Linked DNA regions of Rattus norvegicus. The protein of the gene in region 1 interacts with the protein of each later gene in a pairwise test. Links are inferred from orthologs where the notes say so. Each region holds a gene or a part of one and is shown on either strand. Other genes may lie near its edges.

Region 1 (3,646 bases):
CCACTCCAAAGAAAATGCATCAATAGTATAATGTGAATATGGTGAGTATTGCTAGAGAACACAGGTAGAAGACCATTTTCACTATATAAACTATTCTTAACAGATTTGATAATTTGGCAATTAAAAAAAGCCCTCAAAAGACAAGTGAAATCTTGCTAAGCAAACATCGTATCTCATTTCTGCCACTGACCTTTTTTGTACAATTCTCCTTCTAATAACTGACATCAGTGCTACAATGGCTTTTAGTTCACCTGGCATGGATGTTACAACCTTTGTCCACCCAAACTCTGTGTTCTGCTTCAGCCTCCCACTGAACCAATATCCCATCACTTCTAGTTTGCCCTAGCTCTTGTTCTTGCATATTTGATGCAGAGTAAGACTGACTAAAGTTGGTGGAGAAAAGACGTAACATAAGAATACATAAGATACCACCTGCTAGTCCCCAACGAGTCACACTAATTCAGTGAGCAAGCATGGAAAGCATCACCACAGGACAAGAAGACTCCAGGCACAGCTCATTCTAGCCGACTGCTGTAGTTTGTTTCTGTTTTAATGTAAATGCTGCTTTAGGTGCTATGGACTTTAGATCATCATCAACCCTTTGGTACAGTGTTAGAGCACCATCTGGTGTTTACTGTTTTAAAGTAAAATGTGCACTTATAAAGGTCCTAACATGTACAAGCAGTTAACAGAAAAAAAGAAACAAGGTCATGTCAAGGGTTGCCCTAGAGATAGGTATGGTCCTTAGTGGTGTTCTGACTTCGTCAATGAGGTCGTCAATGAGTTGTGTGTTTCAATGAGGCATCTGAGATCCTTCACAAATACCAACCAGCCCTTTGAAATACTGCACTTTCAATTTAATTAAGGATTAATGAGGTATTTTTTAAAATGATTGATTTAGTCCAATTTTCACATTTTTTAATCAGTAGAAAAATATCAAAACTCACAAGATTAAATTACTTACCAAGGACACATAATTTGAAGAGAAAAAAAATTAACTGCAAATGCACTGACCCATGTCCACTACATTATTTACCTAAAATTATGCTTCACCATCTCTACATAAAATCTTTTTAAGTGACAGAAAATGTAGTGTTTGGAGGGGAAATTATAAAGTATTTTTCCCCACTCTTTCATTTTGTGTTTATATTAACTTAAAACATTTTTCATCTACCTTTCAATAATCAGAAATATATCCTGTATATTATTTGGTTCATGATACTAAATCTCACATTAGTATTAGACTCTTTTACATCTGTGAAGACAGTGAGACTACCTATATAAATGGACTGCCATTACCAATGATGCCTCAGTGAACACTTCTGCACATGTCCCTTCCCACCTATGGCTCTGAACACTATTTTACCTTCAATCTGACCTGCTTGTGTCTGAGCTCCTGCATAGGGAGGTTGCTGTGGCTGACCTGCTGCTGGGTGTGCTGCCGAAGAGGAAGAAGCAATGCTGTCAGGTGTTCCGGAACGGTCTTCTGTAGGAGCACTGGGTGGTCCTGGGTGGTCATGAAAAGTCAGTTAATTACTCTGTCCAAACTCGTTCCTTAACAAGTGCAATTTAAAGATTTAGGTTAATGACAATAAAAATAAAATCACCATGAAACAACCATGTCACCGAGAATACACTACACTTATGTGCTTCATATTTTCACATTTGCTCCAGTCTATAGGATCCAAAGTAAAAATTGGAAATCCTTCCTTACAATGTGTGAAATTCTAAATTCCTGAGTCCTAACCTCCCCTTGTCAAAATCAAAACTCCTATCTACAATCAACCAAACACAGGGCTGCTTTCTTAAGTAGGTCTCTACTGTCTGTAAACTCAATTTAATCTCCCTGGTTATGTTCAGAGATCCAAACATTTCTCACTAGTCTTCTCACATGTTCTTCTTTTAGTTAAAATTATCCAGCTCATGGTTTCATAGGATATCTAGCCATTGTTTTGGTCTCTAATTCATTTATCATAATTTCTCCACTCTATGACTAACTGCAGCATACTTAAATGACCTTCTTTAAAACCTAGTTATAATTCTAATGAATCTTTGACTTATACTTTATCTCCTAGTGAATTTATCTACGGCTTACTTTTTAAATAGGTAACACTGATTTCTACTTTATATAAATGTCTATACTGGCCCCATTTTTCTTAAGACTGAGAACTCTGGCCATACTCTCTTGTTCTTTGCTGATAGGACTAGGACTCTATTTAATACCTACAGTCAATCAAACTCTGTCAGGGTAAGGAAAACACAGGAGCCAGTACAGAGAATCTAGATTTTCTGTATACTTCTAATACTGTGACAGTAAGTGGATTCTGAAGATAACACAAGGCTTATGGCTTTAAGTTAGTTTACCACACAGAAAGGTGATATGAAGAGTTCTGGAGCTAAATTCCTTAGGTTGTATTGCTAGAGCTAACAGTGGCTGCTGACTTTAGGCTACTGAACCTTTCTGTGCCACAGCTTCTTCAACTACTTAAAAGGCAAACCAATTCTGACCTCAAGGCTACTTGGAAGGCTTATGAGTTAAAGTTTACAGCAAAATCCTCTAAAAGCAATTAGCACTTAGAAAGCTTGATTTAACCACTCACAATTATTAGCAGGCTTTCCTTAAAAGCAGTCTCCAACTGTTCCAGTGGCATGTCCTGAGAACTTTAAATCTAAAAGGTCACCAAAGTCTAAGTATAAAGCTGATGAACGTTTGCAAAGTGTCTGAAATGAATGCTTGGACATTGTAACTGGGTTATCCCACCATGAACTTATAGACGGTGGGCTACCAGAAGGTGAAAGGGAAAAAGGAGTAGGTTCTTGAGAACAAACACTTTAAGAATGCATCTTGTCAGTAGCCCATTTGACTTCCTTGCTTCCTGACTACCAGAGTAAACAGCCTTCTCTCATACACACTCAGCCCCTAAGGTGTTTGCCTTGTTTCAGGCCCAAGCTAACAGAGCCAGTGGGCCATGAACTGAGATTTCTGAAACCATGACCAAAAATACATCCCTTTTCCTGAAGTGACTCTCAACCTTCCTAATACTGTGACCCTTTAATAAAGTTCCTCATGCTGTGGTGACCTTCAATCATAAAATTATTTTCATTGCTACTTAATAAGTATAATTTTGCTAGTTATGAATCATAATGTAAATTTCTGATATGCAGGATCTCTGATATGCAACCTCTAAAGGGCAGAAACCCACAGGTGGAGACCACTACCCTAGGTTATTTTCTAAAGCACTTTGTCACTGCAAGACAAAGCTGATATACCACCATTTTAGGCACATGGCTTGTCCACTAACAGTCAAGTGCTAATGAGAAGCTATGCTCGGTTATGGTAACAGGAATGCTGTTTACAGCTTTACTTGTACACATGCACACTTCCCTAGAGAAGACCCTGTATTATAGTAATCTTAAAAACACTCAGGGCTTGGCTCTTCTTCTCTCTCCTATGTAGCACGTTACTGTTGTTTACCTGTTTTTCTGACTTCAGTCTCTTGACTTCTACATTACTGTGGTAGTTATTTCCACCCTTAACCATATCACACTTGAAGAATTAAAAAAAAAATACACTGGTTGTTACTTATGTGAAGACAACTTAGTATACATAACTGCATGAAAAGGTAATATATTCAAATGTCTTCTC
Region 2 (4,249 bases), on another chromosome or scaffold:
TCGCCCACCTGCGTGGCAATAGCCAGACTGTCCTGCTCATTCCCGCCTGCACACGGACCCCTCTTGGGGCAAGGCAGACCATACCTACCAACCAGGATCCTTCAAGAGGCTCCTGAAATGCAAATGACGAATGGCTTGTTTGCAAATCAAAAGTGGGCGGTGAAAGAAGTGCCCTCCAGGTGAGAGCTAGATTGTGAGGAACAGCAATCCTTAAAGGGGGATGGGAGGTGGGGTGGTGGTGGATCCTATAGAGTCCTTAGGAAGAACCTAGTTGACTCCAGGGCACCAATTGAAAGGCACCAAGATAAAGTGAGGAAAAAGAATACTGCAATCCTGTTTTATAAACAAATACGTTTGCTTAAGCGTCCTAAGCCATGCACATGTAGAAGTGTGTTGGACAACTGAAATGAGGTGCCTAAACGTGACCTGGGGAGAGTAAGACTCTTAATTTTTATTATTTTTCCTTTTTTATTTGATTTTTTTTATTTATTTACATTTCAAATGTTATCCCCTTTCCCGGTTTCCCGTCCATAAACTCCCTATCCTATCCCCCCTCCCCTTAACTTTTATTTTTAAATGTTACACAACCATATTTATTGTACTACCTTTTTCTAAACAAGCAAACAACATGATTTTCCCCTGCAATTAATATACTAGTATTTTTGCTACAATGAATAAACCAATACTGATGCATTGTTATTAAAATCTATATACTGTTCAGATGTCATTAGTTTTCAACCTAATGTCCTTTTCCCAGGATCCCATCTAAGAAGACACATTACTTAGTTTTCGTATCTCTACGTGACAGCTTCTTAGACTTCCCTTATTTTGACAACCTTGAGAGTTTTGGACAGTCCTGAGTTCCTCAACTGGGGCTTGTCTGATATTTTTTGCACGATTACTATGGGGTCATGTGTCATAGGGAGGAAGACATCACACGACAGAAGATCAATATAAATCACCACTGCTGATGTTGGCCCTGATCACTGGCTGAAATGGTAATTTTTTCCACTGTGAAGTTTCCACCTGCCGTACACAGTGGCCGTTTTAAATTTTCTTCACGGTCATACCTCTGAAAATAAACACCCGAAAGATGTTCTCTCACCCCACAGTCTGGAGCGCGGCTCTGCTCCACTGGGAAAGCCCAGGGCTTCCTACAAGAAGTCACTACCAAGAGCGCGGCTCTCACCTGTGGGCGTGGCCACACGCACCCCGCCCCTCCAGAGAGACCCCGCCCCGCTCCGCTCCTGTGGCTCCGCCCCGGGGAGAGTAAGGCGGCCGCGCCCGGAGAGTTTTCCGCCCTGCGGGCTCCTCCTCCGACCGTGCGCAGACACTCTCGGGTCGAGATCCGGAAAGCGAGACTTGGAGGTAGCTGCTATCCGAGCTCAGTGTCCCGGTCCCTGGTGCCAGGTGCGTGAGGGTCCCGTCGGGCGGTCTGTACTTGAGGGGTATTCGCGTGTGGCGTGGGGTGTAATGTTCCTCCGGATGACCAGGCCCGGAGTTGAACGGGATCAGGGCAGGTGAGCCTGGGATCCTGTGGTCCCATGATGTGCGAACTTGGGGTTGGTCAAGGTCTTATCTCAGTGCGTTTCCGGGAGAAGCTTGAGCGGAGCCCAGCCGGCCGAGAACGCTGTCTTGGGGAACTTTGCTCCGGAACTGCAGGGCGCGGGTTCCTGGACCTGCCACCCTGGGTTTATATAAGGCAGGCTCCCAAGCGGTCCAGAGAATGCGCGATTGTGCCAGTTGCCGTGTTGCCTGCCTTCCTTACGGCTTATCCAGCTACGATCTCTCTGCCCCTGCCCCCGCTTCTCGTTCCAGAGACCTAAAGAACTCTTGCTTGGGCTTGGCTCCCCGACTTCCCGTCGGCTCAGGCCAGCCTCCTAAAGTCGTAGAAGGTGGCAAACAGTTCTGGGGGAGAATAGTTAAACTCAAGTTGGGCACATTCTCTCAGGAGATTTCTCTTTCCGCTCGCTAAACAGTAGGTGTCCTTGGAGATTGGGTTTCACGGACCCTACACCTAGAGTGTCAGCCTACCTGTCTGATCCGTTCACTGGACTCATCTAGCTTGCTCCGCGCTCGGTCCTGCCCGTACTATAAAGCTTGCCCCGAGGCAGCCTTATTGAGGAAAAAAAGGCTACAAATGCGGCCCTGGGTTGGGCTGTTCTCTAGTGTAAATTTTGCAGATGACAGTGTGTGTGTGTCATTGTCAAAATGATGACTATTCCTGAAACTGGAGCCTTGCAGGGAAGGGCCAGGTGTCTTGCTCACCCTCGGCTTGCTCCCATTATGTTCCTTTATTATTTCCTTGCTTCAGCCAGTTGTTGGGAATTCCAGGAGGATTAACAGGGCTGGTTCTTCTAGGCCTTGTCTGTGCTTGGTATTCTCTAGCTCCGGAAGCCAGGTGAGCTCTCCCGCAGTCTGTTTCTCTAGCACACTCGCCCACTTTGGATTTCTCCATCTCTCCTGATTTCTGAATCTCGATTTTTCTTCTCCATAAAATGAGGGCACTTATAGTTCCTATTTCATAGACATTGTGAGGATTCTGCGAGTTAATTTTTTGTTCTGTTTTGCTTGTTGTTGCTATTGTTAGTTAATTTTGGGGGAGTTTGTTGTTTGTTTGTTTGTTTGTTTGTTTTGAAACAAGGTTACCTATTTAGCATTGGCTGTCCTGGAACTTGCTTTGTCTGGTCTCAAACTCCAATCTCAGACTCTTACAGACCTCGGCCTCCTGAATGCTGGGATTAAAGGTTTGTGCCACTCGCTCAGCAAGCTGATTTTTTAAAAAGCATTTATATTATTTTTAATTAAGTGTGTGTGTATTCAAATTCCCTGGAGCTGGACTTACAAGTTGTGAGCTTTCTGAGTCTGAAATCTGGTTGTCGGCAAGAGCAGTCTTCACTCTTTTTTTTTTTTTTTTTTTGGTTCTTTTTTTCGGAGCTGGGGACCGAACCCAGGGCCTTGCGCTTCCTAGGTAAGCGCTGCAGTCTTCACTCTTATCCACTGAGTTATCTTTCCAGTCCTATGAGTTCATCTATTTTTACCTTTTTTGTTTGTTTGTTTGTTTGTTTTGTGTGTGTGTGTGTGTGTGTGTGTGTGTGTGTAGCCCTAGGTGTTCTGGAACTCTTTAAGATTCTATTGGCCTCGAACTCAAAGATCTGACTGCCTTTTAAACAAATTTTCTGTTTATAAGTGGTTTTTGTCTTCGTGCATGTCTGTATACCATGTGGGTTCCTGGTGCCCTTGGAAGACAAAGAGGGCACTGGATACCCTTGAACCAGAGTTGCAGACAGTTGTGAACCGCCATATAGTTAGGTACAAGTGCTTTTAACTGCTGAGCCATCACTCAAACCTTGAGCTGCTTTTCTTTTCTTCTTTCCTTTTTCTTTTTTTTTCATATAAGACAGAGTCTCTCAGTGTCGATCTGAGTGTTCTAGAACTCGATTTGTAGGCCAGGCTGTCCTTGAGCTCATAGAGATCCACCCGCCTCTTCCTCCTGAGTGCTGGCATCAAAAGCATGCACCGCCTTACCCAGCATTCCTACTTATTTGTTTACTTATTTATTTTTGAGACAGAGTTTCTCTGTGTAGCCCTGGCTGTTCTGGAATTCACTGTGAGACCAGGTAGGCCTTGAGTGCACAGAGATCTGCCTGCCTTAACTCCCAAATGCTGGCTGGGATCAAGGGTGTGTGCCACCATTGCATGGTACAGGTTGGCCATTGCCGCCTGGCACAAGTTGATGTTTTTAGTGTCTCTGCCATGCTCAGGTACCGAGCAGTTAGACTGGTGGCAACTGCTGACTGCACCTGTGCATGACTGATGAACGGATGATGCTCGGGTTAGCCATAAAGCACACAAGGTGAGGCCTGGTGTCTAAGTAATCAAAAAACCCAACTGCTAGTAGGTAATACAGCAAGAGCAAGAGCATGGGGTGCAGCTGGCTTGAACTGCCCCGCACACACCTCTCTTCCCTCTTTCCCCTGTTTTGTCCTTATTTACAAACCATTCTGGTGTTCTGCTCTCTGGTAGGAGGGCCAGATATGCCCTCTTTAACCTCTCTGTCATTGGCCCAGTTTTCCGGAGAGGCCTTAGAAGGATTTGTATGACCACATATCTAGTCTTTGTGCCTTTGGGGGATGGAGACTTTCTGAATCTTTTTAGGTGCCTATGTGGGTCCTCTTTTTGGTGGTGATGGTGGTCGTGGGTTCAAGATGGTTTCACTGTAGCTCTGGTTGAACTGGAACTCTCTCTA

What was found. The genes of interacting proteins can lie anywhere in the genome.
Region 2: the proteins of Tfg (region 1) and Anxa11 interact in binary tests that used the Homo sapiens proteins (3 or more experiments, as listed by UniProt). The two-hybrid records come from large-scale screens. The link is inferred for Rattus norvegicus from reciprocal best matches to the Homo sapiens genes TFG and ANXA11.

What each region holds. Positions count from the first base shown.
Region 1 is NC_086029.1:57,371,635-57,375,280, reverse strand, and holds part of Tfg (protein TFG), read right to left. Parts: intron 1,508-3,646; coding exon 1,367-1,507; intron 1-1,366. UniProt on the Homo sapiens protein: Plays a role in the normal dynamic function of the endoplasmic reticulum (ER) and its associated microtubules. Required for secretory cargo traffic from the endoplasmic reticulum to the Golgi apparatus.
Region 2 is NC_086034.1:1,418,379-1,422,627, forward strand, and holds the start of Anxa11 (annexin A11), read left to right. Parts: upstream 1-1,355; 5' UTR 1,356-1,410; intron 1,411-4,249. UniProt on the Homo sapiens protein: Binds specifically to calcyclin in a calcium-dependent manner. Required for midbody formation and completion of the terminal phase of cytokinesis.